Linked DNA regions of Stegostoma tigrinum. The protein of the gene in region 3 interacts with the protein of the main gene of each other region in a pairwise test. Links are inferred from orthologs where the notes say so. Each region holds a gene or a part of one and is shown on either strand. Other genes may lie near its edges. The genes, in order: tshz3b, si:ch73-264p11.1, trim54 and ngly1.

Region 1 (8,305 bases), on a different chromosome or scaffold from region 3:
TAAACTCGATCCCCCTGTTAATGAAAGCCAAAACACCACATGCTTTCTTAACAATCTTATCCACCTGGGTGGCAACTTTGAGGGAGCTATGCACTTGAACACCAAGATCCCGCTGTTCCTCCACACTGCCGAGAATCCTGCCTTTAATCCTATATTCAGCATTTAAGTTCGACCTTCCAAAGTACATCACTTCGCATTTATCCAGGTTGAACTCCATCTGCCATTTCTCAGCCCAGCTCTGCATACTGTCAATGTCTTGCTGAAGCCTGCAATAGCCCTCGATACTATCAATGGCACGTCCAACCTTTGTGTCATCAGCAAACATACTAACTCGCCCCTCAACCTCCTCATCCAAGTCATTTATAAAAACTACAGAGAGCAAAAGCCCAAGAACAGAGCCCTGTGGGACACCACTCAGCACTGACCTCCAGGCAGAATCTTACCATCTACAACCACTCTCTGCCTCCTGTCAGCCAACCAATTCTGAATCCAGACAGCCAAATCACCCTGTATCCCATTCCTCCTGACTTTATGAATGAGCCTGCCATGGGAAACCTTATCAAATGCCTTGCTGAAGTCCATGTACACCAGATCCACTGCTCGACCCTCGTCAATCTGTCTCATGACTTCCTCAAAGAACTCAATAAGATTTGTAAGGCATGACCTGCCCCTCACAAAGCCATGCTGACTCCCTTTAATCACGCTATGCTTTTCCAAATAGTCATAAATCCTATCCCTCAGAATTCTTTCCAAAACCTTGCTGACCGCAGACGTAAGACTGACTGGTCTGTAATTTCCAGGGATTTCCCTATTCCCTTTCTTGAAAAGAGGAACAACATTTGCCTCCCTCCAATCTTCCGGTACAACTCCCGTGGAGAGTGAGGAAGCAAAGATCTTCACCAGCGGCTTAGCAAGCAACCTCCTTTCTCGCTTCCCGGAGCAACCTAGGATAAATCTGGTCTTGCCCTGGGGACTTATCAATCTTAATGTTTGCCAAAATTTCCAGCACGTCAACTTCCTCAATCTTGATCTGTTCAAGCCTGTTTTCCTGCTCCTCAAAGTTCTCATTCACAACAAGGTCCCTCTCCTTAGTAAAAACCTAAGCAAAACACTCATTTAGGGCTTCCCCTATCTGCTCAGACTCCACACACAAGTTTGCTACGCTATCCCTGATCGGCCCTACCTACTCCCTCATCATTCTCTTATTCCTCACGTATGAGTAAAATGCCTTCGGGTTCTCCCTAATCCTTCCTGCCAAGTCTTTTTCGTGCCCCCTCCTGGCCCTCCTCAGTCCACTTTTGAGCTCCTTCCAAGCAAGCCTGTAATCCTCTAAAGCTGTGCTAGACCCTTGCTTCCTCCACCTTACGTACGCTGCCTTTTTCTTTTTGACAAGAAGCACCTCTGTACCCGTCATCCAAGGCTCCTTAATATTACCCCTTCTTACCTGTCTCAGAAGAACAAATTTAGACATCACTCGCAACAACTGCTCCTTAAACAGCTTCCACACGTCTGCTCTGTCCTTTCTGTGGAACAATTGTTCCCAATCTGTACTTCCCAACTCCTGTCTGTTAGCGTCATAGTTTCCTTTACCCCTGTTAAATATCTTCCCCGGTAACTGCTCCTTTGACAGGAATCAGAATCAATACAAATAAACTTGAATTAACAGGCACATGTTACTTCAAATAAATATAATAATTTGCCCTTAAATAGTCAATATAGCAAAGATATATTTTAAAGAATCACAAGTACTGCAACATTCCCCACAGGCATGTGGCGCCACGTGCTGTTCCAAGGTTCTCTCATTTGACTCTGGTAGTAAAAACCTCTATTTTCCCACCCAATAAATTTGGCTCTCAAGACACATTCACCAACATCCGTATTGTCCCTGGAGACATTCATTACCCAAACAACACAATCCTGCAGAACCTTCTACGTTAGGCTTGAGAGTATTGATGACACAAATTCCCCAGAGATCACTTTGTCCAAATCTTTCTATACACCCCTTTTTATAATCAGCTTTGCTAAAACTGAAGCAGCGGCATTAAAATTGTCAAATTCTCAATCTTTGCATTAACCCTGTTTTCAGGTTTCTGTTCTGTTTAAATGTATTACACAAACACAACTCATTGTAAATATGAATTCAATTTTCTTCGCTCCACTGTAGCTCTCTTTTGTATCTGACACATAGCTTCCATCTTAATGTCCTAACGTTTTCTTCTGCCTTCTGGTCAAGGGTTGCCAAGCCAATTGAAACAGTCCTCTTGTTATTCAAGAAATTTATTGTTTCTCCCTTTACAATTGATGCAAATTATTAAAAATTATTTTTCAGAAAGTCTTTAAGAGATCATTGACAGATTCTATCAACATTTAATGAAATTATAAATTTTTCTCAACTGCTTCAGGTCAAGGCTCCTCAAATTCCTAAAATTATGCATTGAAAATATAAAGTTTTCCCATATTTCTAATAATACCAGAGGAAGACAATGCACTTGCTTATCTCTGTTTCCAAAGCTCGTCTTTCCTAGAACAGAAGTTCTAGCCTGAGGGATGACGTGCTACATCATACATTGCTGACCAAGAGACTCCACTATTTATACAATCTGTCATGTGTATATCAGAAGTATGGACAGGTTAGTAATCAAACTGTTATTAATGTACCTTCTTTGACGATCATGATTCATCATTCCCAAAATGATTCCCAGAAGATTCTGGCTCAGAGGCAAGGAAACCACCCTCTCCACCACAAGACCTCCTGCATTGAAAAACAGGTGGTAAATTACAAGGGCAAAAGAAAATTCAAAAGAAGTAAAGCTATGTTTGGTGGAGATTGTCCAGCAGCTCCAGACATTGGGTTCTACACCCCAGTGAGGGGCCTAAGTCTCAGAGTTAAGCAACTTAGCATGCCCGACAGTGTGGTGTGGCTGCAGGATAGGCATGCAATGGGTGTTAGATTCCAGTGAGTCTAATGGGTAATGTCGGTAATTTTCACTCCACTACCTTTTCGAGCCCGAGGCCCAGGTTCAAGGCCTACTTGCTCCAGACATAGAAAAGACCTATTTCACCTTCTTCATCCCTAATAGACTCCAGCTCACCTCTTACTGCCAGCAGGCTGAGTATTTCCATGCGTCAGAAGAATTTTGGATTCCTTTTTATGCTGTCATTCTCTTCTCATTTTCCGTCTTTTCCAGTCTTATCATCCTCTTCATTTTCCCTCTCTGTTTTGTGGGCTGAATTTAAAGCAGCCAGGCCTGGTGGAAAACATGGAACTGGATCCACTCAATTCTGGGAGAGGCTCACATCAGTCTCCGAGCAATGTGAAATACAAAGCCATAGTAGAAACACAGTCCCTCATGGCAGGTTGTCAATTGACTTCATTATTGAACCCATTGGGATCTGACTTTAGTGGTAACTTAGGGGCTACATGTCAATGGCATAGCTTTCCCAAACTTCCAGAAGGCTGTTTATCTGCTGCCTACTATGGGGTGGTCCCTCTTTCAAAAGCACTTAGTAACTGATTGAGTGACCTGGTATCAAATGCCTCCCGGTCCTTCCCTTCCACCTCCCCCATATACCCACTCTGCTAAAACTGTCACTGCAACCCCCACTCTAACTTCACTCACCTCTGACCTGGTTATTTCAGTGATCCTTGTTCTTTCTGGTGGTGATGCTTGAAGTCCTGAATCCCAGTGAAGGCCCTGAAAACTGTTGAATTGACTCAGCTCACTTCTTGAGAAGTGACATTCCTTTTCCACCAGTTCTCCAGCTAATTGACTGGGCCCATATGAATGACATAAAATGCTGTCTATTGTATTTGGCTTGGTGCTGGCTTGAAAAATTCATCTGATGTGTATCAAACACCCCAAGCTGGATTTTGGTGACCCGATAATTCTTTGAATCGAAAGTGCAGCCTGAAAAGTTAGTGATGAGGTTATGTGAGAGACAGTAGGAACTGCCGATGCTAGAGCCTGAGATAACAAGATGTAGAGCTGGATGAACACAGCAGGCCAGGCATTATCAGAGGAGCAGGAAAGCTGATGCTTTGGGTCTGGACTCTTCTTCAGAAATGGGGGAGGGGAAGGGGGCTCAAAATAAATAGAGAGAGGAGGAGGTGATGATAGAAGGTGAATGGAGGAGCAGATTGGTGGAGAGAAGACGGACAGGTCAAGAAGGCAGGGATGACACCAGTAAAGATGAGTGTAGGTAGGGAGTTGGGATAGGAGTTGGTCAGTGAGGAGAGAGAGGTGAGTAGGTGGGAGGGAAGATGGACAGGTCAAGAAGGCGGTGATGACATGGGCTGGTCTTGGGATGCAGTAGGTGGAGGGGAGATTTTGAAGCTTGTGAACTCCACATTGACACCATGTGGATTGGGCTGCAGAGTTCCCAAGCGGAGTATGAGGTGCTGTTCCTCCAGCCTTCGGGTGGCATCGTTGTAGCACTGGAGGAAGCCCAGGATGGACTTGTCAGTCAAGGAGTGGGAGAAGGAGTTGAAGTGCTTCACGGCTGGGACATGTTGTTGTTTGTCACAAACTGAGCGTAGGTGCTCCACAAAGCCTCTGCTTGGTTTCCTGATGTAGAGGAGGCCACATCAGGAACAGCAGATACAGTATACTGCATTAGCAGATGTGCAGGTGAACATCTGCTTGATGTGGAAGGTTTTCTTGGGGCTTGGGACAAGAGTGAGGGGGGAGGTGTGGGGGCAGGTGTAGTACCTCCTGTGGTTGCAGGGAGAAGTGCCAGGTGTTACGTACCTGGATATCTTACCTTGGTTTTTGGCTTATGCTATTTCCCAGAGGGGATGGGTGGAAAGTGGACATCTGAACTCTACCATGCTCCTGAACTGCCAAATGAAGTAGTTAGGGTATTGTTTAAAACCCAACCTCACAACTTTTCTTGGTTTTCCCAGTGACAAGCTGTTCCATATAAAGTGTGGTCACTGGCCCCTCAAGCAGCATACAAAGGTATTTACAGTATTGGTAAAGATAACATGAGCATGACCAGTCAGCCTGTATACAAAAGCGCAACTACATTTTTCCAAATAGTCTGCTTCTCGTAGATTCGACAAAAAACATTGCACGTACAGGTTAGGTTAGTCTCCCAATATAAGTACTCATTCAGCTGCTATGCACCCAGATGGTCATTGTCATTTCAAAGCTGCCTTGCTCAGTATAGGAGGTTTGCGGAAGATGTTAGAGAAAGGGAAGATGACATCATGATTCTCCAACAATGACCTGGAGGTTCTAAACAAGTGGGTGGTGCAAAAGAGAGGAGTTCTCTTCCAAGAGGACTGGCAAAGGACACCATGCCACCTGATCCTGGCATCCTGGTCTGTAGTCACCATTGAGATCAAAGCCATCTCCATGATGCAGAGGAATAGCCAGTAATTCCGCAAGGAGGTCAATTATCTTCTCCTCTTCACCAGAGCAAGTGCCCCACTCTTCTCTTTGCAACCTAATACTCAGTCTATCTCTGCTACTGCATCCGCCTCGCACCATAGCTCATGATCTGCCATTTTCACTCTGGCATGCAACCTCTTCTGCTACCCGCTCACACTACCTCCATCCTCCCTCAGCACCAACCCTCCATGCCCTCTGTACTACTCACTCCCTCAGAACTCCTCAACGCCCTTCACCCACCAGGACTTGCAGCCATGCCATCTCACTCAATTTCTCACTTTACAGGAGAAGACAGCCCATACATGGCAGAAGGAGCCAATATGGGGTGGAGGAGTCCTGATGTTAAGCTCCTCACCCCATCTGAGGAGAGAATCCTGGCCATTGCAGGAAAAGACATGGATTGCTCCTGCAGAGATGTCAAAGTATTCATGGCCCAACAATCTGTTAAGCACCATTCTTCCTTCCACTGTAACTCTCACATTAATGTTGTCATTGTTGTTCATTGCATCCTACCTCTGGCCACTCACCACAATGCCTGTGTGATCAGGCACTGTCTCCTGCTTGCAACTGGGATCATACTGACTGTGAACGAGCCCTTTCCCCCTTCCCTATGACCCCTTCACATCATGTTTTAATTATATCCCTCCTTTCACTTACTGTCGGCCCTTTACAGTTGTTATTCGTGCCTCACCCTCCAAAAGAATAACTTGCCAAGTCTCCTTCCTGCAACCTCTTTTTCCACGCTTCGCCCCCTTTTACTCTTAGTTACTCTGATCAGACCCAATGGACTGACAGTGGCTTATCTGCATGTGTGATGCAACCAGATTGAGAAGTGCCCAGACCCGTGGCTGCTAAATGTATATCTGCCTAATCCCATTAGCCCTGCTCCCTCTAGAAATGGCCAACATGGAGCCACTGTAACTGACTGTCTCCCACTCCCCAAACTGCAGAGGCACGGACACCTACATAAACCAAGCAGATGCTTGACCAATCCCCTGGATTGGTACTTAAGGCTGCCCAGAACTTATTGTGGTGGGTCCGCTTGACTGGTGGGTGTCTCCATGGGCTTCAGTGAAGAGTAGTCCCTTAAGGTTTTGAGACCTGACTGCCTGCTTGCAGCCAATGCAAGGTGTTCACTATGTGAGCTGTGATACATGCAGTGTGTGTGCTGTGTGAGCTGTGATACATGAGTATGCTATGTGAGCTGCAGTATGTGCAGTGTTTTTGCTGTGAGCTGTGGTACATGCAGTATGTATGCTGTGTGAGCTGCAGCACGTGCAGTGTTTTATGCTGTGTGAGCTGTTGTACTTGCAGTGTTTTTGCTGTGTGAGCTGCTGTACATGCAGTGTATTTGCTGTGTGAGCTGCTACACATGCTGTGTGTTTGCAGCATGTGTGTTTGCTGTGTGAGCTGCTGTACATGCAGTGTATTTGCTGTGTGAGCTGCTACACATGCTGTGTGTTTGCAGTGTGATCTGTGATACATGCAGTGTGTTTTCAGTGTGAGCTGCTGTACATGGTGCAGGTGTGAAATTGATATAGCACATTGTCAGAAAGTAAACTTTCTGCCTCTTGACTGAGGTCTGCTGATCAGGAAAGTTAAGTGCCTGGTTGTCTGATGGCAGTACTTGGGATCCCAATGCACAGCAAGGATGCTGTGAGCCTGCCAGTCAGCGTGAAGTGAGCAATCTGTGAGAGAGTAGGCAAGCAGCCCTGAGATGCAGCATGGTCCAATCCTTCAACTGGGTACCTGCCCCTTTGCACAAAGCCATTAAAGAGTAATCTAGATGATGTGGATGCTTTGGAGAGGGTTCAGAGGAGGTTTACCAGGATGCTGCCTGGACTGGAGGGCTTATCTTATGAAGAGAGGTTGACTGAGCTCGGTCTCTTTTCATTGGAGAAAAGGAGGAGGAGAGGGGACCTAATTGAGGTATACAAGATAATGAGAGGCATAGATAGAGTTGATAGCCAGAGACTATTTCCCAAGGCAGAAATGGCTAGCACGAGGGGTCATAGTTTTAAGCTGGTTGGTGGAAAGTATAGAGGGGATGTCAGAGGCGGGTTCTTTACACAGAGAGTTGTGAGAGCATGGAATGCGTTGCCAGCAGCAGTTGTGGAAGCAAGGTCATTGGGGTCATTTAAGAGACTGCTGGACGTGTATATGGTCACAGAAATTTGAGGGTGCATACATGAGGATCAATGGTCGGCACAACATTGTGGGCTGAAGGGCCTGTTCTGTGCTGTACTGTTCTATGTTCTATGTTCTATGTTCTATTCCTTCAACAGTTGTCCAGTCAATGATTGTAGAAATCTGTATTGAATTTGTTCAATGCCTTTATGATTCATTTGGTGATTTTTTTTACTGCTGTCTCAGCCTTTTCATTTGGCTGGGAATAGTGTGGGGTCGGTGTATGGTGTTGAAATACTCAACCCTCTATGAAATGGCTAAATTCTTCACTCAGTAGTTGAGGGCCACTGTCTCTCATCACAATGTCTGGAATGCCATAATGATTGAAGTGCACATTCAGACATTCGACAACAACACTGGGTGTCATTGATATCAGTTGGTCTAACTCCCAGTTGTCAGAGAAGTAGTGGATAGTGACAAGATTATTCAGCTCATGACTGAAGAGGTTTACTGCAACCTTCATCCATTGTCAGTCACGTGCCATAAGTGGCTCTTTAGTTCACTTAGCTTGATATTTGTTGTAAGCATTGAACTGACTGATGTCGCCCTTAATCACATTGCTCATATTTGGCATGTTAAGTACTCCTTTTGCCTGTCTCAGATGGATTCAGCATCTTTTTTATCATGTCCTCAGGAGTAATGACTCTGTTTCCTGTGTACAAGATGCCATCTTTGCCATATATCATGGTCCAACTAGTCCACGCTAACCATGTTCTCAAACTAAA
Region 2 (7,880 bases), on a different chromosome or scaffold from region 3:
TACTGTGGGGAACCTTATTGAATGCCATGCTGAAATCCATATACACCACATCAACCGGTTTACTCTCATCTACCTGTTTGGCCACCTTCTCAAAGAACTCAATAAGGTTTGAGAGGCACGACCTTCCCTTCACAAAACCGTGTTTACTATCCCTAATCAATTTATTCTTTTCTAGATGATTATAAATCCTATCCCTTATAACCTTTTCCAACACTATACCAACATCTGAGGTAAGGCTCACTGGTCTATAATTACCAGGGTTGTCTCTACTCCCCTTCTTCAACAGGGGAACCACATTTGCTATCCTCCAGTCATCTGGCACTATTCCTGTAGACAATGACGAGTTAAAGATCAATGCCAAAGGCTCGGCAATCTCCTCCCTGGCTTCCCAGAGGATCCTAGGATAAATCCCATCCGGCCCAGGGGACTTATCTATCTTCACCCTCCGAAGGATTTCTAATACCTCTTCCTTGTGAACCTCAATCCCACCTAGTCTAGTAGCCTGTATCTCAGTATTCTCCTCGAAAACATTGTCGTTTTCTAGAGTGAATACTGTTGAAAAATATTCATTTAGCGCTTCCCCTATCTCCTCTGACTCCACACACAACTTACCACTACTATCCTTGACTGGCCCTAATCTTACTTTCATCATTCTTTTATTCCTTAAATACCTGTAGAAAGCCTTAGGGTTTACCCTGATCCTATCCGCCAACAGCTTCTCATGTCTCCTCCTGGCTCTTCTGAGCTCTCTCTTTAGGTCTTTCCTGGCTACCTCGTAGCCCTCAAGTGCTTTAACTGAGCCTTCACATCTCATCCTAACATAAGCCTTCTTCTTCTTCTTGACCAGAGATTCCACCTCCTTTGTAAACCACAGCTCCCGCACTCTACAGCTTCCTCCCTGCCTGACAGGTACATACTTATCTAGGACACACAGGAGCTTTTCCTTGAATAAGCTCCACATTTCTAATGTGCCCATCCCCTGCAGTTTCTTTCCCCATCCTATGCTCCCTAAATCTTGCCTAATCTCATCATAATTGCCTTTCCCCCAGCTATAACTCTTGCCCAGTGGTATACACCTATCCCTTTCCATCACTAAAGTAAACATAACAGAATTGTGATTGCTATCACCAAAGTGCTCACCTACTTCCAAATCTAACACCTGGCCAGGCTCATTACCCAGTACCAAATCTAATGTGGCTTCGCCCCTTGTTGGCCTATCTACATACCGTGTCAGGAAGCCCTCCTGCACACACTGGACAAAAACTGACCCATCTATAGTACTCGAACTATAGTGTTCCCAGTCAATATTTGGAAAGTTGAAGTCCCCCATGACAACTACCCTGTCTCTCTCACTCCTATGGAGAATCATCTTTGCTATCCTTTCCTCTACATCTCTGGAACTATTCGGAGGCCAATAGAAAACTCCCAACAGGGTGACCTCTCCTTTCCAAAGAGAGAGGTCATATTGAACATAGGCCCTTAGAAAGTGAACCTGAAGAGATGGTTTTTGGGAAAAAGGAAATGGCAGAGGAGTCAAATAAATATTTTGCATCAGTCGTTACAGTGGAAGATATTTTGAACATTCCATTAATACCGATGAATACAGAGGGAGGAATTAAATACTTTCACCATCATAAGAGAGGTATGATCAGACAACCTTATGGGATGCATGTACCATAACATTATTACAGGTAATATTAGACAAACTAACAAAGCTAAAGGCAGATAGGTCCCCTGGCTTGTATCCTAGGATCATAAACGGGGTAGCTATAGAGATAGTAGATGCATTATTTGTAATTTTCCAAGAATCCTTAAAATCTGGCAAAGTATTAGAAGATTAGAAAACTTGTCAATGTAAGACCTCTATTCCTAAAGGGAGGTAGGCAAAAAGCAGGTAACTCTAGCCTTATATCTATTGTTGGAATATATCAGAATCAATTATTAAGGAAATAATACCAGAACCGTGAGAAAATTATAATCTAATCAAACAGAGTCAGCATGGTTTTGCGAAAAGGAAGGTGTGTCTGACTAATTTTTATTCAAGACTGTCCTAACAGAGTGGGTAGAGGGGAGATACTGTATTTGAACTTCCAGAACCTGTTTTGACAAGGAACCTCACAAGACATTCAATCATTTGATAAGGGCCTATGGTGTTGGAAGTAGTATATTAGCATGGATAAATAATTGGTGAATGGCAGGAAATAGTGGGTGTAGATAAAGGGTTCTTTTTCAGATTGGCGACCTTTGTCCAGTGGGATTCTATAGAGTTCAGAAAAAGAGAATGCACTGTAGTAAATTTAGAGACAACACAAAAATAGTTGGAAAGGCAGCTTGTGAGAGAGGTATACATTGTTTACAGAGAGGTGTTGATATGATATGTAAGCGGGAAAAAATGTTGGCAAATGGAATTGAATATAAAAAAAAGAGAAGTTATTCATTTTGGGAAAAAAACAAAAGAATAGAATGTTATTTGAATCGAGAAAACTGCAGAAACCTGTAATACAAAGGGACTTAGAGGTACTGGTGCATGAAACACAGAAAGATAGCACATGGGTTCACCAGGTAATCAAAGAGGTTCATGGAATGTTAGCCTCTATTTCATGGTGTTTAAGTTATAAAACTAGAAAGTCTTACTGCAACTGTACAAGGTGTTGGTGAGACCACATCTGGCGTACTATGAACAGTTTTGGTCCCTTTTTTTAAGAAAAAATACTATTTCATTGGAGGCAGTTCAGAGAATATTCACTAGGATAATCCCTGGTATGGAGGGATTGATTTGTGAGCAAAAGTTAACCAAGTTGGGATTCTACTCATTGGAATTTAGAAGAATGAGAGGTGATCTTGTTTAAACATTCTGGATTTTTAATAGGTATTGCGGGATAAATGTTGAGAGGATGTTTCCCCACGTAAGACAGTTTAGAACTAGAAATGAGATAGTAGGAATTGCCGATGCTGGAGAATCTGAGAAAACAACTTGTAGAGCTGGATGAACACGCAGGCCAAACCGCATCAGAGGAGAAGGAAGGCTGGCGTTTCGGGTCTGGACCTTTCATCAGAAATGGGGGAACAGAAGGGGATTCTGCAATAAACAGAGAGGGGGAGGTGGATGGAAGGTGGATAGAGGAGCAGATAGGTGGAGAGGAGACGGACAGGTCAAGGACGCAGGGACTAGAGAAATAGTCTCAGAATTAAGTAGCACCAATTTAAGACTGAGATGGGGAAGAATTTCTTGACACTTTGGAACATGCCACAGAGAACTGTGGGAACTGAGTCCTTGTTCGTATTTAAATTTGAGATAGATAGATTATTGATCAGTCAGAGAATCAGGGCAAAGGGCAGGAAGGTGGAGGTGTAGAGTGTCAGATCAGTCATGATCCTATTAAATGGCAGAACAGGATCAAGGGGCCAAATGGCCTACCCCTGTTTCTGTTTCTCATGGCCTCAGTTAGTAAGGAGGATTTTGCAGGGCTGTTTTATTTTCAATACCACAGTCATGTGTCAGGCAACCTATTTTATTTCATTCCTTTCTTTAAACTTTGTAGTGCTTGACACAACTGAGTGCTTGCTGATTTCAGAGAGCAGTTTAAGAGTCCACCACATTGCTGTGGATATAGAGTCACATATAGGCCAGACCAGATCAGTATGGCAATTTCCATTGCTGAATGGAAATTAGTGAAGTAAGTAGGCTTTTCCAACAATTGACATTGGTCCATGGTGATCATTGGTCTTTTAATTCTAGTTTACCATTGAATTCAAGTTCCCATGTGGTACCTGGGTCTATGGATTATTACTTCCGTGACAATACCATCAGGCCAAAACATTCCCTTAAACTGAAATGAAACAGCAATGTCGGAATCGTCAGTTCATCTCTTTTAATGTAACAGACAGAACATTGGAGACAACTCCCTCCTTCTTCTTTGAAATAGCGTCACTGTATTCTATATGTCTACTGGAGGGCAGATGGGTCCTACACCAGCACTTCATCTGAAGCCATCCTGATCATGCAGCATTGCAGACAATGTCAGCTTAGGTTTTGAGGTCAATAGTATAAAATGGTACTGTGACTTACAATCCTCTTTGTCAGAGATCAGGGTGAAACCAAATGAGCAATGGCTGACACTTAGAGGAAACTCTAGCCACACGAAACTTTTAAAATTTGAGGGTGTGAAATTAACTGGACGTGTCTTCAGTAATTGACAAACATTGTCCTGCTGAAACCATATATTTTGTTAGACTGTCAATTTCATATGTTATGCTAAGTTTACTATCTTCCATGCAGTTTAGAGTTACTGCATAAAATATAGGTAGATTGGAAACTTTTACCTTTATGCTATTAAAAGCTGACGTAATGGATCCTGTGGTTTTCAAGTCAGCAATATGGTGAAGCATTGCATCACTAATGCATTTTTTTAAATTCACGTCTGACCAACAGCATTTCATTAAAGCGTTTTCCACAGAAATGATCTATATTGCATGAAAGGAACATAATTGCTGATTTCTCTACCAACTTGTATCGATATTGCCAAACAAAAGTAACATTACATTCCACAGAAGATAAGGTAAGATTGCAAAATGACAAAGATATATAATTAAGCTTAGTAAAGTTATGAAACAGGAGCAAAAGCCGTAAACTAGGCTGCATGTCATTTCTGCATACATGTTCGAACTAAAGCATTCAAATTATTCATAATGGCTATTATATTTCACACTTTGTGCTATTTCAGCTGGTACAGAAACAGTCTGGCTAGATTTTTGATGTTGAATTTATCATGTAGTTAGATATACTTGCACACTACAGTACTGATATGATGAAAATTTCCTAATAAGGCAAAAGTTTTGAACAGGCAACGTGTAAAAGTTTAGTGAATTCTTCATTCACTTGTAATCTTGATGTAACAATATTTCTTGCAATGTGTTGATATGCTTACAATATTAATATTGTCAGTTGCTCATTTGTAACAGCAGTAAACACTGTATTGTTAACACTGAGAGTAATGAAACAAATGGCTGATGGTGTCAAGCAAGTTGACCTAATTACTTACCGTCAGTAGAGAGAATGACCGATTTGGATGGGATGCACAGTGCAGTAACATAGTGTGTTACGGGATTAGTAGTCCAGAAGCCTGGGGTAATGTTCCAGGAGTATGAGAACAAATCCCTCTTGGCAGTTAATTCAATTAATATATGTTCCTTCTGCTGCCGGTATAATGTGGTTACAGTATGCACCATTTTAAAATGCATGGCAGCCTCTCACCAAACCTTCTTTGGTGGCAGTCTCCAAACATTGAACCTTGACTATTGAGAAGTACAAGAGTACAGTTGTATGAGAATACCATGACTTGCAAGTTCCTCTCCAAACAACACATATCCTGACTTGAAAATATATCATAATCCCTAATTGTTGCTGGGTCAAGCTTCTGGATCTCCTATTTCAATGGCCTCTCAATTTTTACTTCCACATATAGAGATTTGTGTATTTACATCTGCAATATTACTGCTCCTCCTTTAAAACTGTACCATTTAGTTAAAATTGCCTCCTCCTTATTCCTAGCAAAACATACCACTTCTCAGTTACTGGCAGTAAAATTTGTCACGTCTCAGCTCAAATTGACAGTCTATGTCTTCCTAAAACCTGCTATCATCTTCGCTGTTTACTACATTTCTCAGTTTACTCTTACACCCAATTTTGAAATTAAGTCCTGTGCTTCGGGGTCCAGATCATTGGTACGGGTCAAGAAATGCAAAAGTCCTAATAATCCCACTGAGGGGACATCATTGTGTACTTCCCTACATTACAAAATTACAGCTACTCATCCTACCACTTGATCACCGCTACACCCTGCTTTTTGTCACTTATCACATTTTGTAGCCATGTTGCCAATATTCCATCAAACACAGAGGATTTAATTTTTCTAAAAATTCTTTCATATAGCATTTTGTCAAATGTGATCTATGAATCCACGTACACATCACCTGCATTGCTTTCGTAAACAATCTCCTTACCGTTCCTGTTGGAAGATGTCTGGAACCAATGGATACAATCTCAGAGAAAGGGGCAGTCCATTTAAGAGTGATACAGAGAGGATTTTCTTCACTCAGAAGATGGTGAATCTCTGGAATTCTCTACCTCACAGACCTGTGGAGATTCAATCGCTGAATAGGTTTAAAACAGAGATTGACAGATTTCTAGGTAGTAAAGATATTACGGGATATGAAAATCCTGTCGAAAATGCTGTTGAGGTCGAAAATCAACATTGAATCAAAGAGTTGGCTTTATAGGCCAAATGATCCACTGCTATACCTATTTCTAATGTCCTTATATTCCTCTGCAGCTGCTTCAAAGAACTCAAATTGATCAAATTTGATTTGCTGCAAATAAATCCATGCTGATTTAACTCATGCTAATCGCCAATTAATTTGTCTCAATTATAATCTCCCAAATAGTTTTGCTGACTGATCTGTAGTTTTTTGGTTTATCTCTCTCCATTTTAAATAAAACGGAGCATGATAATTGTAATATCTGTTAAGGGTTGGAAGATTGTTGCCAGAGGCAAGCAATTTGACATTGTTATTTCTCTCCCTAATGCAAGATGCATTCCATTCAGACATTGGATTTTTTATGTTCTGATTGACTATTGATGAAGTGCATCATCTTTATTCTGTTTTTATCCTATCAGACGTTAATAGTGCTTAGTCTGTTACGGCTATATTAGCAGCATTCCATTCTTCATAAGTCTTTAAGACATAGAAGCAGAAATATATCCTTCGGCCCATTGAGCCAGTTTAAATATTCAATCAGCATCACTTTCCTGCCTTATTCCCAAAACCCTCGCTTCTCCACTCTTTAAAAACCTGTCTGCTCCAGCCTTGAATATAATTAAATACCCAACCTCTACAGGCCTCAGTGGTAAAGAATTCCACAGATTCACTACTCTCTGAGAGAAGAAATTCTTTGTCATCTATATAGATAGATTGGAGAGTTGGGCAGATAAATGGCAGATGGAGTTCAATCCGGGCAAATGTGAGGTGATGCATATTGGAAGATCTAATTCAAGAGTGAACTATACAGTAAATGGAAAAGTCCTAGGGAAAATTGATGTACAGAGAGATCTGGGTATTCAGGTCCATTGTTCCCTGAAGGTGGCAACGCAGGACAATAGAGTAGTCAAGAAGGCATATGACATGCTTTCCTTCATCGGACGGGGTACTGAATACAAGCGTTGACAGGTCATGTTACAGTTGTATAAGACTTTGGTTCGGCCACATTTAGAGTGCTGTGTACAGTTCTGGTCGCCACATTACCAAAAGGATGTGGATGCTTTGGAGAATGTGCAGAGGAGGTTCACCAGGATGTTGCCTGGTATGGAGGGCGCTAGCTTTGAAGAAAGGTTGAGTAGATTAGGATTATTTTCATTAGAAAGACGGAGGTTGGGGGGGAACCTGATTGAGGTCTACAAAATCATGAGGGGTAGAGACAAGGTGGATAGCAAGAAGCTTTTTCCCAGAGTGGGGGACTCAATTACTAGGGATCATGAGTTCAAAGTGAGAGGAGGAAAGTATATAGGAGATATGCGTGGAAAGTTCTTTATGCAGAGGGTGGTGGGTGCCTGCATTGCCAGCGGAGGTGGTAGATGCAGACATGATAGTGTCTTTTAAGGTGTATCTGGACAGGTACATGGATGGGCAGGGAGCAAAGTGATACAGACCCTTAAAAAATAGATGACAGCTTTAGACAGAGTATCTCGATCAGCGCAGGCTTGGAGGGCTGAAGGGCCTGTTACTGTGCTGTATTTTCTTTGTTCTTTGTTCTCTATCTTATGCTCCTTATTCTGAGATTCAGCCCACTGGCCCTAGATCTTACATAGGGAAAAACCCCTTTC
Region 3 (7,596 bases):
AGCTGCAACAAGATCTCACGACTCTTAAACTCAATCCCCCTGTTAATGAAAGCCAAAACACCATATGCTTTCTTAACAACCCTGTCCACTTGGGTGGCCATTTTAAGGGATCTATGTATCTGCACACCAAGATCCCTCTGTTCCTCCACGCTGCCAAGAATCCTATCCTTAATCCTGTACTCAGCTTTCAAATTCGACCTTCCAAAATGCATCACCTCGCATTTATCCAGGTTGAACTCCATCTGCCACCTCTCAGCCCATCTCTGCATCCTGTCAATGTCCCGCTGCAGCCTACAACAGCCCTCTACACTGTCAACGACACCTCCGACCTTGGTGTCGTCTGCAAACTTGCTGACCCATCCTTCAATCCCCTCGTCCAAGTCATGAGTTGTTTGTTGTTCTGTTCTTCCTTGGTGATCCTCTTGATCTCAGTGAATAGGTTATTAATAAGCTGATGTGTTTCTTCTAACTTTGCTCATTTAATGATAAAGAAAGTATCGTTGATGCAGTTAACCAATAATTTAGGCTGGATCTGGGGGAGGATCTGCATGTTCAAGTCTTTGCATAACTGCTTCCATTATAAGACCCAAGATGGGTGAACACACCTATGCAAAAATGGCGGTGCCATAAACAACATAAACATCTTGAAATAGACCCCAGCTTAATACCACGATGGAGCAAAACTGGAAACAGAACCACCCGCCATAACAGACCAGACCATATAAATTTAAAATGGAACAGAACGTTAGCACTTCAGCGGAGGCTAGACAGCACTGAAAATGTCACCCAGAATGGGAATGAAACATTTGTACAAAAACCAGTCAGCTCGGCAAACCAACCAACAACTCTGATCTACACAATAGATCAAAAGCATTGATAGCACCAATGTTAATGTTTTAGTAAACAAAATGATGAGCTTATAAAATAATCCTGAACTTGTAGCCACTTGCACAATGTAAATTACTATACAAGTGTATTGTCACTTTAACTAAAAGTTATTAAACGTTGTGTAAATCGTAAACTTTAGTCAATAAAACAGTCGCACATTAATCAAAAATTTAGATGAATATAGTAGAGGGATCATATCAAGATAAAATATGTGACTAATAACTATCTCGGAGAGTTATCATTGGGTCAAGTATGGTAAATGATAAGCATCTGGTTCAGTGAATCATAGCTTTAAACTATCTTGCTGAAATAAACTATCTTGCTATTATTGTCAGTATTGTTCATGGACCCTAAATGTATATAAATTGGTTGACATGTTTTCTCCAATTACAACAGTGACTGCACAACATTAACTGCGATACAATTTGCATGTCCTTGTCTGAAGGGCAAAGTTTAAATTCTCTTAACAGTCAACAATTAGACTATTTACCCATTATTGTTATTTGGAAAAGACAATAACCCAACTGAGATAGACTAATTGAATGAGACCAGAAGATTCTGAACAGAAATGTAAAATAACTTTATCATTGAGAATTTGATTTTATATTTAAAATAGTTTACATTAGTGATTTGTTTGAATGAGTCTGACTATGCAATTGGAAGTCATAAAAGTGATTTCATTTGAATTATGCTCTGTCATACAAACTGAAAGTCTTGCAGATGTGTTGGCATCAAACAACCTCATTTGAGGATTTCACAAATAGCATTTCTATCTAAAATAGATGAGTGGTGTTAGAGTTTCCTCTTTTTATCCATCAATCGCAGGTCTCCAATCTTAAGTAGGCTTTGATTTAGTGCTTCAAAGAAAAGGCATTGGAACTAGAATTCTTTGTTACTGAAAGCAGAAACCACAACATCAATTAAAGGAAAACTGAAAATTAAAGTTGGAACATATAGGCCTATTAAGGCAATAGGAGTAGTTTTGAATTGTCCTAATAAAAAGACAGCATGGGCATTATCCATACAGGTTCCTCCTTTGTTGCAAACCTCTTAAAGAATCCTTGAAAAAAGACAAAGATCATAAACCGGCCCATGTGAATTTTGTACCCAAAAACCCAAACAAGTGGAATACAAGGATTTGCATCTTTTCATCCTGCAGTTTCAGGTTTTTCAGACCCTGTTCCCTGTAGTACGACTTACCTCATCATTCCTCTTCCTTTAACCTTGTTACTTTCTTAATTTGAAAATTGTGAGCATTTCCTACATAGTACTATTTGAATTCCCATTGTGGAACATTCTACTGTATTCCCAAAGGATTTGATATTGTTTGTTCTTACTTACTAATTCCTGAGCGTGGCTGATAGAAAATATACTTCTTTTTCACCTCAGCCAAAAGAGCAATATAGAAGTAAATGATTATGAGAAAGTGGTAAAGACCACTTTATTTGAATAAAATAATAAAAATGTTCTTCTATGTTTACAGATCATTGACTAAACACACTCATTCTCGGTTCAGCTTTCTCTATAAATAAAGCACATTGCGTAACCTGGATGATTCTTGCTTGTAGATATCAATGATATTTTCCACCAAGAGATTTCTCTGCAGGCCATAAACTCCATGGCGATCCAGTACTACCTCATGTCGGCAGGAAGGACAGCGAAAGCGACCCCCTGAAGGCACTGTTGTGGAGCCTCTCGACTGCCAGAATGGATTGGAAGCCTGTGAATTATGTACCAAATAAAAGTGTCAAACAGCCCTAAAAGAGTATTCAGCTACGCCACGCGTTACTCACATTCCTTTGCCTCTTGTCAGTCTTCCGCTTTTTGTAGATATTCTTCTTTGTTTTTTTTTGCTTCAACAGAACCATGCAGCTGAACGCCAGTGTTATCACCCACAGCTCAGGCAAAGAGAAAGATGTTTTATCATTAAAAAAAGAGATGAGCTGGACTTGATCATAATTTCTGCCGCCACTGTATTTGTGATCTGACATACTCTTCTTTCTCATTTCTCCTCCCCTACATCCCTTCACATGTAAATCTGCACTCCAAGCAATCTGATGTGTAAAAAACAGGCCTAAACATTAAAACTATTTTATCAAGAGCATGCTTCTAAAGAATAGTTTTCATGGACTTAAAATGTTAATACTATTAATAGTGCATTAAGGTTAATAACTATGCCACGGTAAAATGCCACTAAGTTCTGAAACACCTACCTGGAAAACGTCATTGGCACATTTTCTACACAAGTTGTGTTGACATGGTAAAATCACAACTGGCTTTGTGAACATTTCCAGACAAATAGGACAAATAAGTTGTTTCTCCAAACTGTCCATTGTCTGTGCGCCTCCAAGCATTGGTTTGAATCCTACTGCAAGGTTCATCCCCAAAATCAAGAGGTTCACTCAATCTGTTAAATAGAATTTTCCTTTTCCCTCTCTTCAAGGCACTGTTTTTCCCAACCTGTGCTCTCCGCTGAAACATCAACTGTTAGGCAGCCAGCTAAATTTAGAATCATTTCACAGAGGATCGTATTGCTTTTCTTTTAGCCAACAAATCACATGGACTAACAGTTGTGGGCTCTGCATTCCTCACTCCATATTTATCTCCTGAAATGTGAGACTGAGATTTTGAACAGCCATTTGTTGGGCAGCTCTTTCCCTTGTCAAATGATGTTTAGTCATGTAGTAAACTACTGATTATATAAATTACTAAAACAAAACTGAATGCAACTCAAAAGTTTCTGAAATCAACTCCCTGAACAAAGTTTCAAATTGAAAACCTTAAATTAAATCCAATGCAACCTGTTATCCTGTGTACAGCACTTTTTATGCTCAGCAATATATTCCTGTTGAATATATATATTTTTGCTTTACTTTGCAACTTAATCTGATTTCATGAATAATCGATGCACAAAACAAGTGAAGTGTTTTCAGATTAGTTAATTAGGAAATACAATCCTCAGCCTAATGCAATTGAAATCTCCAATTAACACAAATGATAAGATCACAATTAAGTTGGATATAAATATAAAATGAGAAAAAATGTTATACCTACCAAAGCAATGTGCCACCATCTTTCACGAGAATGTAGTTAACTACTCCTTTTTCATGACAGACTGCTATGCCAAAACAAAGGAATGGTTGTCCCTAGCAAATGTTGAGAAGTATTTAGCTGAAAGTAGCATCTAAGGAGGAATGACATGCTGGTCTTCTCAATATTAAGCTGCTCTGTGGATTTATGTTAGAATCTCAATTATTTCTAAAAAATATAAATAAGCTATTTCTTTGTTATGGTCTGTCTCCTTAGGCAATGTCACCTCTTATGGCACCATCTTAGGTACAAATATCTCAGCATAAATCTTAGATACAAAAAAGGAATACAAAAAGAGTAGCTGCATTACTTTACAGTGTTCAATGAGTAAGTCGAAATAAGACCTGGTTAAAGGATTGACAATACAGTCACATGAACAATGAATAAACATGACATTGCAGAATCTCAGTGCAGAGACTTTCACATGTCCAACAACTATACCAATTCCGCTCCAAGCTCCAAACAATCCATTGTCTGTGCACCTCCATGCGTCGGTTTGCATCCCACTGCAAGGTTCATCCCCAAAAGCATACTCTCTCTAAATTTCTTGTCATGGATGTCTCATCCTTCACTTAGCATCTTTATTCTTCATTGGGATAGAACTCTTTTTTCATGATTTCTAGACATGACAAAAGCAGCAAACACAACACATAAATAGACCTTGAAAATAATTAATTCTACATGAAGGGTGTAAATGATGTTTAGATCATCAACTACTAAATTAGTCATAAAAGCAGAATATGGTGAAAATACTCAAAATGTCTGGCAGCATCTGTGGACAGCAACAGAGCTAAAGCTTCAGATGGCTGACCTCAAAATTAATTCTAAAACTTAGATATAGATCTTTGGGGCTTTTTTATTGTTGCCACAGTTGTGGTCAGCATGTGGTATGAAATCAACTGAAGAATTGGTCAAGGATGTATAAATGAAGTGGATTTCACTCATATTGGATTCATAAACAAAAAATCTTGAAAATCATAATTAAAGCTTGAATAATGAGAATTTATATAAAATAAATGGAGTGGGAGTGGAGAAAACAATCAACAATTGGAAAATATCAATATAATTCTAAAAAACACAAAGTGGATATCCACACAAGTTCCATAAGTCTCTTCATGCATATTTTGAGAAAATTGTATTGAATTGAACAAATTAACTAGCTAAAGACAAAACAACTCAATTTCTTTATTCTTTCAAGGGGTTCTCTCAAGCAAATTCTTTGCTCAACCTAAATTGCTTTAATAATGTACATTAAATCTTAAATTTTAGTAACTAAGTGCTGTTTAAATCAGAGGCACACTGCTATGGGGGCGGCATGGTGGCTCAGTGGTTAGCACGGCAGTCTCACAGCACCAGGGACCCGGGTTCGATTCCAGCCTCGGGTAACTGTCTGTGTGGAGTTTGCACATTCTTCCCGTGTCTGCGTGGGTTACCTCCGGGTGCTCCGGTTTCCTCCCACAGTCCAAAGATGTGCAGGCTAGGTTCATCGGCCACGCTAAATTGCCCATAGTGTTCGGGGGTGTCTGGGTGGAATGCTCCAAGAGGCAGTGTGGACTTGTTGGGCCGAAGGGCCTGTTTCCACACTGTAGATAGGGAATCTAATCTAATCTATCACAGGCCTTCACTCTCATGACTGTTTAAAGCTGGGTGATGAGGAGGTGAGCAGGCCTTAAGGTACTAGCTGAGTCTACTTGTGTTACCTATCACTACTTGGACCTTTTATCAGAAGGGTTAGGTGGACGCTAAGAAGCAGTGCAAGGAATGGTCAAATGTCACTAAAGAGTGGTGACTGCTGAGAGGTTGCAAGCTCACTGAAGGCGTGAGTTTTACCTAAACCAGAATGAACTCAGTTAAGATCAGGGTGAGTGCCATTCTGCCAAAGAGAAAGGCATTAGTTGAAGGCCAAGTAACAATCACACAACTCACATTAATTCAGCAAATAAATCTGAAATTGGAAGCTAGATTCGGTAATGGTAATGATAAAACTATCATTGATTATTCTGACAACCTATATGGCACACTCCTGCCCTTTGTGAAATGAACATACTGTCCATACGGGTGATTCCAGGTGTACTAGCAGGTGACAGCTCTGCCATGATACTGTTTGTTGCTGCACTTCTAATCAGTTTTGTGCCACCAATGTGTTTATACCTGAAGTATAATCTCCCTACCTTGTATTTGATTTCCCCTTGCAATAAATGATTTTATTATATCAGCTTTCCTTGTTACTTGCTGTACCTATTACTAACCTTTTTGTGATTCATGCACTAGGATATCCAATCCCGCTGCATCGCAAACCGCTGTAATCTCTAATCATTTAGATAATCTTTCTTTTTAAAATTCACTTATTTTTCTAATCAACCTGTTTAGAAATCTTCTTAAACACTTCTGGAGCAAGTGGGACTTGAATTTGGGCCTTCCAGTCCAGGAGTAGGGACCCTACCACTGCATTACAAGAAGAGCTACCAACAATAACAAATTTTACAATTTCTCACACCATACTGCATTTGCCATTCTCCTTATTTTTCCATCACAATTTACTTTCCTACCAATCTTTGTGCCATCAGCAAATTTAGCAACTATACCTCCCATTGCATCATCTAAACCATTTATGTAAATTGTGAAAAGCTATGGTCCCAAAACCCGTTGTTACAACTTGCTAACCCGAAGTGAATCTATTGAGTCTACTTTTTGTACCTGCTAACTATTCAAACTTCTACCCATTATAACATGCTACCCCGCACGCAGAACTTTTATTTTCTACAATAACCTTTGATGTGGCACCTTATCAAAGGTCTTCTGGAAGTCTAAGCACAGCACATTCACCAGCTCCACTTTATCCATAATGTGCTATTTCCTTAAAGATCAGCAATAAATTTGTCGAAGATGATTTCCTTTTCACAAAACTATATTGACTCTGCCCAATAACCCAAAACTAGTCCGAATGTATGACTGTTTCTAATATTTTCCTTATGACAGATATTAAAATTGTTGGCCTCTAGTTCCATCAGGTACTTGTCAGCTCACAATTCCAACAATTTACTCAACCCTACTTCCCTCTTGATTATTATTTTCTTCAGTTCTTCCCTCTCTTGATTCTTGATTCACAGCTATTTCTAGGATTGAATGTATATCCTCCATGGTGAAGACTGATTTGAGTTCAATTCTTCTTTCATTTCTAATTTCTATCTAAATCACTTTTACATTCCGTGTTCCTACACTTAGGTCTTCCTTCTCTTTTATGTTGGTAACATCGTGAAATAAGAGTCATTCCTCCAATTCTTCCAAGCCTCCTGCCCCTTCTATAATGCCATATAATCTTCAATATTCAGGTGTCAATCTATGTCATCCTGCAGCCATGATCCATGATAATGCTATTGAATATCATGGGGAGATAGTCAGATTCTCTTAGTAGTTGCGATTTTCAATAATTCTGTAGATTCAGCTTGGAAATTAGTGAAGTAACTAATTTATTCAAAAAGTGGGGTAGTCAGAAGTGAGGAAACTACAGGCCGGTTAGCTTAATATCTGTCATAGGGACGATGTTAGAGGTTAATATAAACAATGCTATGTCAGGGCATTTAGAGTACTTCAAGGAAATCAAGCAGAATCAACATA
Region 4 (7,820 bases), on a different chromosome or scaffold from region 3:
GAAAACAAGTTGACCAGGAAAAATGCAACTGAGCCTTCATGGCAAAGATATTTTAGGTCTAACCAAGCATCTTCCTACAAAGAAGAAAGATGGGAAATCCAAAGCTATTGGTGCCTGAATGATAAAAGAAATCATGGTTAAAGGGAAAAGTTTGAACAAACGTCAGCTAGGAGATTAAACTTTTAAAAAAGGCAACATGGTGGCTCAGTGGTTAGCTGAGAGGTCACTGTTGCTTCACAGTGCCAGGGACCCAGGTTCGATTCCACCTTTGGGTGACTATGTGGAGTTTGCATGTTCTCCCCCGTCTGTGGGTTTCTGCCAGGTGCTCCAGTTTCCTCCCACAGTCCAAAGACATGCAAGTTAGGTGGATTGGTCATGCTAAATTGCCCATAGTGTTCAGTGGCATAGGTGGGTTAGCCATGGAAAGTGCAGGATTATAGGGATGGGATGGGTCTAGCTGAGATGTTCTTCAGAGACTGTGTGACCCCGTTGAGCCAAATTGCCTGTTTCCCCATGTAAGGATTCTATGGAAATTTATGGATATTGCCAGTATAAGAGGGGGGGAAAAAAGGGCAAAATATATGAAAATGTTAGCAATTAACAAATTAAATCCAAAAATACTAGATCAACATATTGCCACGATCCCGGCTGATAGCTATACTGGATATGTCAGATCTAAATACGAAATTTGGCTTGAAAGATCAAAAAGTTTATTTTTACAGTAGCTTACCACTGCAGTCAGGCATTGAACATATTCACGTAAAGCTGTTATGGTTCTTTTACTACAAGAACTCACGTTTATTAAACTAAAAAAGCTATCCAACAATTTAGAAAAATTTTAATATCAACAGCAAAACAAAGTTTCAAACTTTCCCAGCTATTATTTACAGATGCTCATAGTTTAGTATTACTCCCATCTTAACTAATTTCTTAATTACTGTCTCCAGTTCCGATGGCCTCAGGGCTTCCCTCCAGATTCAACAGCTTGAAACTGTTACTCAAACTCTGGCAGCTTGGAGACTTCATAAAATAAAAATCATTCTGCTGAGATGAAACTGAAATCTGATACTCCTGAACTGAACTCAAACCTAAGCACCAGTGATTCCTGGTCATTTATTTTTCTGCATGTCATAAACTTAGCAACGTAAACACCTCATTAAGTAACACCACCGGTATCTGGCTTGGCACTTACTAAGCCACATGCTTCCTTAGAAATTCTATTTAGGTCATTTCTGCCACTAACTCTGACCTCTCCAAAACAAAACTGAAACGCAATTCCATTTGCCTCTATTTTTGAAATTCAAATTCCCAAATGATAAAAGTGCAAAATAAATATTTTCACAATATGAAGCAATATAAAGATTGAGATTGGTTAAGGATGAAACAGAAATTAGACATTCTGAAAAGGGATAACATTAAAGTTGCAGCGAGGAGGCAGTCAAGATGCTGGATTAGAAAAGGAAAAATAGAAATGTGATGCCAAGTTAGGTAGACAGCAGATGCTCTGATCACAATCTTCAATTCTTCTTTGGACATTGAAGTACTGGCAATAGGTTTACATGTTATGGCATTGTCGCCTCTTGGTTCAAAAACATTTGGGGAAGGACTGCATCTGTGGTACAAAAGCTAATTGAGACAAATTCCCACTTTTTCAAGACAAAATCAGAGCTAACTAATCTAGATTGAGTTACTTGATGATCTAAAAGAAGATTGAAGAAGCTGGTGCAATTGATGTGTAATATGAACTTTCAAAAGATATTTGATAAAGAATAACCTAATAGACTTAAACATAACTACATGATATGAAAAGGGGACAATGGTAATATGGTAATGAAATTGGCTGGGAGATAGCAGGCAACGGCCAAGTTACTTTTGACTGAAGATAGCATTCAACAGGGTTCCCACCCACTCATCCACTTAAGGGTCAGTATTAGGATTACTGTATTTTTGCAGTTTGCATTAATAGCCTAGACCTACCTATAACATACAATTTTGATGTTTGCAATTGATATATACATGGCAACACAATGTGCAGTAAACAGAAGAGCCACACTTTAGCAAGACATTGATGAAATGAGCACACACAACTTACTATCAGTAGAATGCAGTTTAGCATAAATGATCTGGAGAGGCAGTATGATGTAAATTATACCATTCTAAAGGGTGCAGAGAAGTGGGATCTGCACGTTCACACACAGTGGCAGGGAAGGTTAATGATGTAAATAAGAAAGCATGAACACTTGGCTTAATGAATAGTGACAACAAAATAAGGACGTTACATTCAACCTTTACAAGTCTACAATTAGACCGCATCTGCAGCACTGCAAATTATTCCGGGGAAAACCAAACACCTTAGGAAGAACGTCACAATCCTGGAAAGACTAAAGAAGAATTTCCACATTGGGGTTTTGGACACCACGCAAGAATGCGAGGCAAGATATCGGGGTCTCCAAGCAATTCTGGCTGTGGCCAGTAGGAGGTTTAGACCGATTCCTGACAGATGAGAGATTTCTTAAAACCCTCTGGGTGTTCTCCCAGTGGGCACGGCCTGACAGAGTGCTTTCTGAGATAATGGGAACTGCAGATGCTGGAGAATCCAAGGCAATAAAATGTGAGGCTGGATGAACACAGCAGGCCCAGCAGCATCTCAGGAGCACAAAAGCTGACATTTCGGGCCTGGACTCTCTGATGAAGGGTCCAGGCCCGAAACGTCAGCTTTTGTGCTCCTGAGATGCTGCTGGGCCTGCTGTGTTCATCCAGCCTCACATTTTATTGCCTCAGAGTGCTTTCTGAGTTCTGATTACTGCTGCAAAAGAATCAGCCTCTGATACTATAACAGTGTGTCGAAGCCCAGCCAAACTTCCCACGTACACCCCTCTCGCCCAGAACACAACAATCGAAACCTTTCCTTCAACCTATGAGAAAGGTGGTAACTCGGGGAGTGAATCGACCCATCGAAACAACACATTGGGATAGGGAGAAAATAACGTATGTTAACCTTGAATCCAACTTCACTCTCTGAGGGCGACCTGAACGGAGCCGGCGGCTGAGCGCTACCATTTTCAACACCCTCCCCCGCAAACCGGGACCTAGCCCTTACCTCAGGATGTTGTCGGCATATTTCAGCAGCAGCTCTGAAGCGTCCAGGAAGATGTGCTCGGGATTCTGGCTCAGCTCGCTCACAGCCACCGACACCGACACCATGGTGGACAGGCTATGGACTGCAGCCCACAGGAGAGGGCGCTTTAACTCCCCTTCCTCGACGAACAGCTGCTCCTGTGTATTCAGACGGCAGACAATCTCCAATTTAAAAAGAAAACCGGAATACCGACAACCGCTCGGCTGTCTGAGGAAAGAAACTGAAATAACCTCCGTTCAGGAAGTGATGACGCTGCATTAGCGCCGCTCTTGCCCCTTTCGGGTTGATGCTCTTTGGTTTTGGGCGGACAACCTCCTGCTCCGCCCACGTCGTGACGTCGTGGCACGGCCATGGCTGAGTTGCGCCTGCGCCTCAGGGAGTTGGTGAGTGAGCGTAGACGAATCTGAAAAGTTGCTTCTGTCTCTTTGTTCACGAGTCCTTCTCTAAAAATATTTCCCGTGTTTTCTTACATTTTATTTTGTGTTTACTTATGTTTCGTCCAAAGGACGGCTCCTCCTCAGTCTTGTTTATTTTAGAAACTGAAAGTAGTAGTGCTGATCCATCTTTCGGGGAATTGAAGGGTCTAGGCCCGAAACGTCTGCTCTTGTGCTCCTGAGATGCTGCTTGGCCTGCTGTGTTCATCCAGCTCCACACTTTGTTATCTGAGGGCCCAAGTACTTCTGTTTCCAAGTTTCTTATATTGTTAAAAAAAATCACGATCCTAACTAGTTTTGACGACAAGTCACAGAACGCTTTTTTCTCTCCACACGGAAAACTGCTGACATGCTGAGCCTTTCCAATACTTGGAACTAACCTTTTGCTGGTCTTCCAAAAAATACTTAAGACTTCTTGTGATCTTCTCGTTCCCCTTCAATAAGGATCCCGGCAACACCTACCTGAGATAGTAGGAACTGCAGATGCTGGAGAATCAGTAGACCTGGATGAACACAGCAGGCCAAGCAGCGTCAGAGGAGCCGGAAAGCTGACGTTTCGGGTCGAGACCCTTCTGAGATCTGTTTTGGGTATATAAAATAACTTGCTAAGCAAAATAATAAATTGATTAAAAATGAGTAATTCATAAAATAATCATTTAAAAGCTATCTAGAAGTTTAATAAGATTTTTGCTCTACCTTTTCATTTAACTCCAGAAATAGAGCTAGAGAGAGATAGGCAAGGCTCCAAATCTTGATCAATGAAGAACGGAAGCAGACAGAGGACTTTAGGACTTGTTCTGGATCCAATTCATCCATTCTGACCAGATATCCTAAATTAATCTTGACCCATTTGCCTGCATTTGGCCCATATCTCTCTAAACCTTCCTCCTCATGTACCCATCCAAATGCCTTTTAAATGGTGTAATTGTAGCTGCCTCCAAAATTTCTTCTGACAGCTCATTCCATGCACACGTCATCCTCAGCATGAAAAACTTGCCCCTTAATCCCTTTTAAATCTTTTCCTCACTCACCTTCAACCTATGCCCTTTCTAATGTTGAGTTAGCCTTGGGGGGGTGTACATTCCAAACTGACCTTGGTGGAATTCATGTGAAAATGAGGTTTGGAAGTGGCTTGTCTTTCATCCTGTCCTGGCTTGTTGTGTAAATAGATGTTTGTTGAATGAGGAGGGGCGTGTGTGTGTGCATGTGTCCGCAATGAGCAGCCTCTGTCTTGAGTGTGTACGCTCACTGTCACTCGAACTTCGGTGGAGTGGGGGCACAAAGTGTGACACTGATCTGACAGGGCACACAGAACAAACATGTGGGTTGGGGGGACATGTGAAGTATCACACTGAACTATCTGGGGCAAAGAGTCTCATAAACTGTGGTGACTGCAGGGAAAAGCACCCCCCTGGGTGTACTTTTAGCCATGTATTCAAACGTATGCTTCCAGTACATGGAAAAGTTTAAGGCTGGGACATCTGAACAATTTAAGGAAACTGTCAGGACACACACCAACATCTGGTCACCCTATTTGAGAGGCTCATGATGGTGATATCTCATGCGTAATGTCTTCTCCCCACTCCTAGGCCAGTACGCCCTTGGGGATTGGTGTCCAATATTCTTGGCCTTCAGCAATGGCCACCTTATTGTGTAGTCAAATTGATTTGAGCATGTTTAAGAATGTTTTACATTTTGGTTACAAATTGATAGCGTAGGTAACAATTCCTTCATTGTAATTTTGCATACAAGAAGCTCATTTGAAAGGTGAAATAACAGATCACTTTCTCAATGTAAGCCTGGAGCTACAAAATAGACAACTTGCTGCAAGGACAAGTTTTAATGAATAAATTCAAATATTCGTTACATTTTATTTAACTGAATTAGGGTCAACTCTAAATAGCTATTCTGTGTAATATCTAAACCTATAATGTATTAAAAAGTGTTTTATTTATGTATATTTCCTATCTTGATAAAACTATCGTCATTATGGATTACTATATTTTTTTATTAGTGAGAGTTATCTTTGTAAATGCATCATATTTAAATTATACCTCTCAACCAGTAGTGGGATCGTGGTACGATCACTGCAGCAAAGACTCTGCTTTTGAGATTTGTCGTAACAATCATGAATAATATAAACTCGTTTCCACACCGTAGGGAATCTAATCTAATCTAAAGACATAGTGTTTGACTTTAAAATGAGAACTGGGTTATGTCTATGCCCCAGTCAAATTTCCCAATGATTACATCTGTACTTATCTAAAATATGATTTTGAAATACAGTCACTTATTTGTGCATTTACATGATTCATTTAAACTTTGAATTGCCCAATGCTGACAGCCTTCTAGAACCGAGGATCGGTGATAGACGAGAATGCCTTAGTCAATAGTACTGAACAATGTGAAAAATCCAGGAATGACCCATTTCCTCCACAGTCACATCAATTTAAGGCCATTTATGATATTGGTCATTATGCTGTTGTTAACTTTAGCCACACTGCAGGAATTCACATTTGAGCTAATGGCATGTTTAACAACGTTAAACATTTAAAAAATGGGAAAGTGTTGATAGTATCTGAACATTGAATGACATTTGCAAACAGGAGGGGGCAGTTGAAGATGGAAGAATTAGGATGTCGATTTCATGAAAAAAACTAAACATAAAAGGCAGAGAGGAGATGAAAGAAAAACCACCATAATAAGGATTTGAAATGAGGTGAGGAGTAATTGGCACAGTGATGTTTGAAACCCATATGCTGCTTGCATTTGATTGAAAAGAGTGCAGATGAGCAGTGGAATAAAGAGATGATTTTTGTTGGACAAAGAAAGGCTGAGGGTTGTCATGCCTTCCAAGATGGTCTTATAGTATTTTTTTTTCCTTATTCTTTCATGGAATGTGGGTGTCACTTGCAAGGCCAGTATTTATTGTCTATCCCTCATTGCCCTTGAAATGAGTGGCTTACTTGATTATTTCACAAGGCAATTAAGAGTCACCCACATTGCTGTAGTTCTGGAGTCACATGTAAGCCAAAGCAGGTGAAGATGGAAGATTTCCTTACCCTTATGGCATTAGAGAACCAGATAGGTTTTCATGCCAATAGGTAGTTTCATCATCATCTTCGCTGAGATCACCTTTCAATTCTAGATGTTTATTAGTTTCATTCAAGTTCCCCCAGTTGTTATGGTGAAATTTATACATGACAATTGGTTTGTGTGTCTGGATCAGAAATCTGTAGATTGTGAAGAAGGGTCCAGAGCCAAAACGTCAGCTTTTCTACTCCTCTGATGCTGCCTGCCCTGCTGTGTTCTTCCAGCTCTATACCTTGTTATCTCACAACACAACGCCATGATCTGTTATGCAATATGATCCTGTTAGGACAAGATACTGAATACAGATTAGGGTGTGTTCCTCATATTATCAAAGTTAAATTGAAAGGTAAGTTAATCAGCAGTCTGTTCCCCATGTCCCACCCCCATTAAAAACTTGTTTTGAGGCAGTGTTGAGGGAGTAGAGAAACAGAGTTTGAGTGCTCCCTAATTTTTGACAGGAATGGTGATGTGTGCATTTTTTGGGGGGAAAAAAGAGTTGCATGAAAAATAAACACAACAGAATAAGTGCACAAAAATCAGAAGCAATATAACTTTCCAGAGTGTCTTTATTTCAATGTTATATTTAGTTGAACTTGATCTCTTATGAACTGTTCAATCACAGTTGAAAATGGAATAAATTTTAGGGGAGGCAATGGCCTAGTTGTATTATCACTGGACTGTTAATCAAGAGACCTGGATAATGTTCTGGGGACCTGGGTTCAAATCCCACCCTGGTAGATGGTGGAATTTGAATTCAATAAAAATATCTGGAATTAAGAATCTAATGATGACCATGAATCTATTGCCGATTGTCAGGAAAACGTATCTGCTTCACTAATGTTCTTTAGGGAAGGAAACTGCCATCCTTACCTGGTCTGCCCTACATGTGACTCCAGACCCACAGTAATGTATTTGACTTTGAGCTACCCTCTGGGCAATTAGGGATGGACAATAAATGCTGTCTAGCAAGCAACATCCTCACCCCATTAATGAATAAAGAAATTATCACAGTTTGTAATTAAACATTATTATCCTAAGCATGCATTCTGTCTTCAAGAAAACTTACATTGCAAAGATTTGAAATTTGGTTTTTCACAACTATTTGCTTACTACTTGCAGATTTTTTAATGATTTTCCTGTGCATCTTTACTGTT

What was found.
Region 1: the proteins of trim54 (region 3) and tshz3b interact in binary tests that used the Homo sapiens proteins (3 or more experiments, as listed by UniProt). The two-hybrid records come from large-scale screens. The link is inferred for Stegostoma tigrinum from reciprocal best matches to the Homo sapiens genes TRIM54 and TSHZ3.
Region 2: the proteins of trim54 (region 3) and si:ch73-264p11.1 interact in binary tests that used the Homo sapiens proteins (3 or more experiments, as listed by UniProt). The two-hybrid records come from large-scale screens. The link is inferred for Stegostoma tigrinum from reciprocal best matches to the Homo sapiens genes TRIM54 and SH2D1B.
Region 4: the proteins of trim54 (region 3) and ngly1 interact in binary tests that used the Homo sapiens proteins (3 or more experiments, as listed by UniProt). The two-hybrid records come from large-scale screens. The link is inferred for Stegostoma tigrinum from reciprocal best matches to the Homo sapiens genes TRIM54 and NGLY1.

The regions. Positions count from the first base shown.
Region 1 is NC_081369.1:34,019,050-34,027,354, forward strand, and holds the start of tshz3b (teashirt homolog 3b), read right to left. Parts: upstream 3,219-8,305; 5' UTR 3,124-3,218; coding exon 3,093-3,123; intron 2,753-3,092; coding exon 2,659-2,752; intron 1-2,658. UniProt on the Homo sapiens protein: Transcriptional regulator involved in developmental processes. Functions in association with APBB1, SET and HDAC factors as a transcriptional repressor, that inhibits the expression of CASP4.
Region 2 is NC_081365.1:32,323,060-32,330,939, reverse strand, and holds the start of si:ch73-264p11.1 (SH2 domain-containing protein 1B), read left to right. Parts: upstream 1-4,453; 5' UTR 4,454-4,559; intron 4,560-7,880. UniProt on the Homo sapiens protein: Cytoplasmic adapter regulating receptors of the signaling lymphocytic activation molecule (SLAM) family such as CD84, SLAMF1, LY9 and CD244. In SLAM signaling seems to cooperate with SH2D1A/SAP.
Region 3 is NC_081357.1:80,447,781-80,455,376, reverse strand, and holds the start of trim54 (tripartite motif-containing protein 54), read right to left. Parts: upstream 3,376-7,596; 5' UTR 3,270-3,375; coding exon 3,102-3,269; intron 2,609-3,101; coding exon 2,436-2,608; intron 1-2,435. UniProt on the Homo sapiens protein: May bind and stabilize microtubules during myotubes formation.
Region 4 is NC_081355.1:63,430,198-63,438,017, reverse strand, and holds the start of ngly1 (peptide-N(4)-(N-acetyl-beta-glucosaminyl)asparagine amidase), read right to left. Parts: upstream 3,441-7,820; 5' UTR 3,205-3,440; coding exon 3,101-3,204; intron 1-3,100. UniProt on the Homo sapiens protein: Specifically deglycosylates the denatured form of N-linked glycoproteins in the cytoplasm and assists their proteasome-mediated degradation. Cleaves the beta-aspartyl-glucosamine (GlcNAc) of the glycan and the amide side chain of Asn, converting Asn to Asp.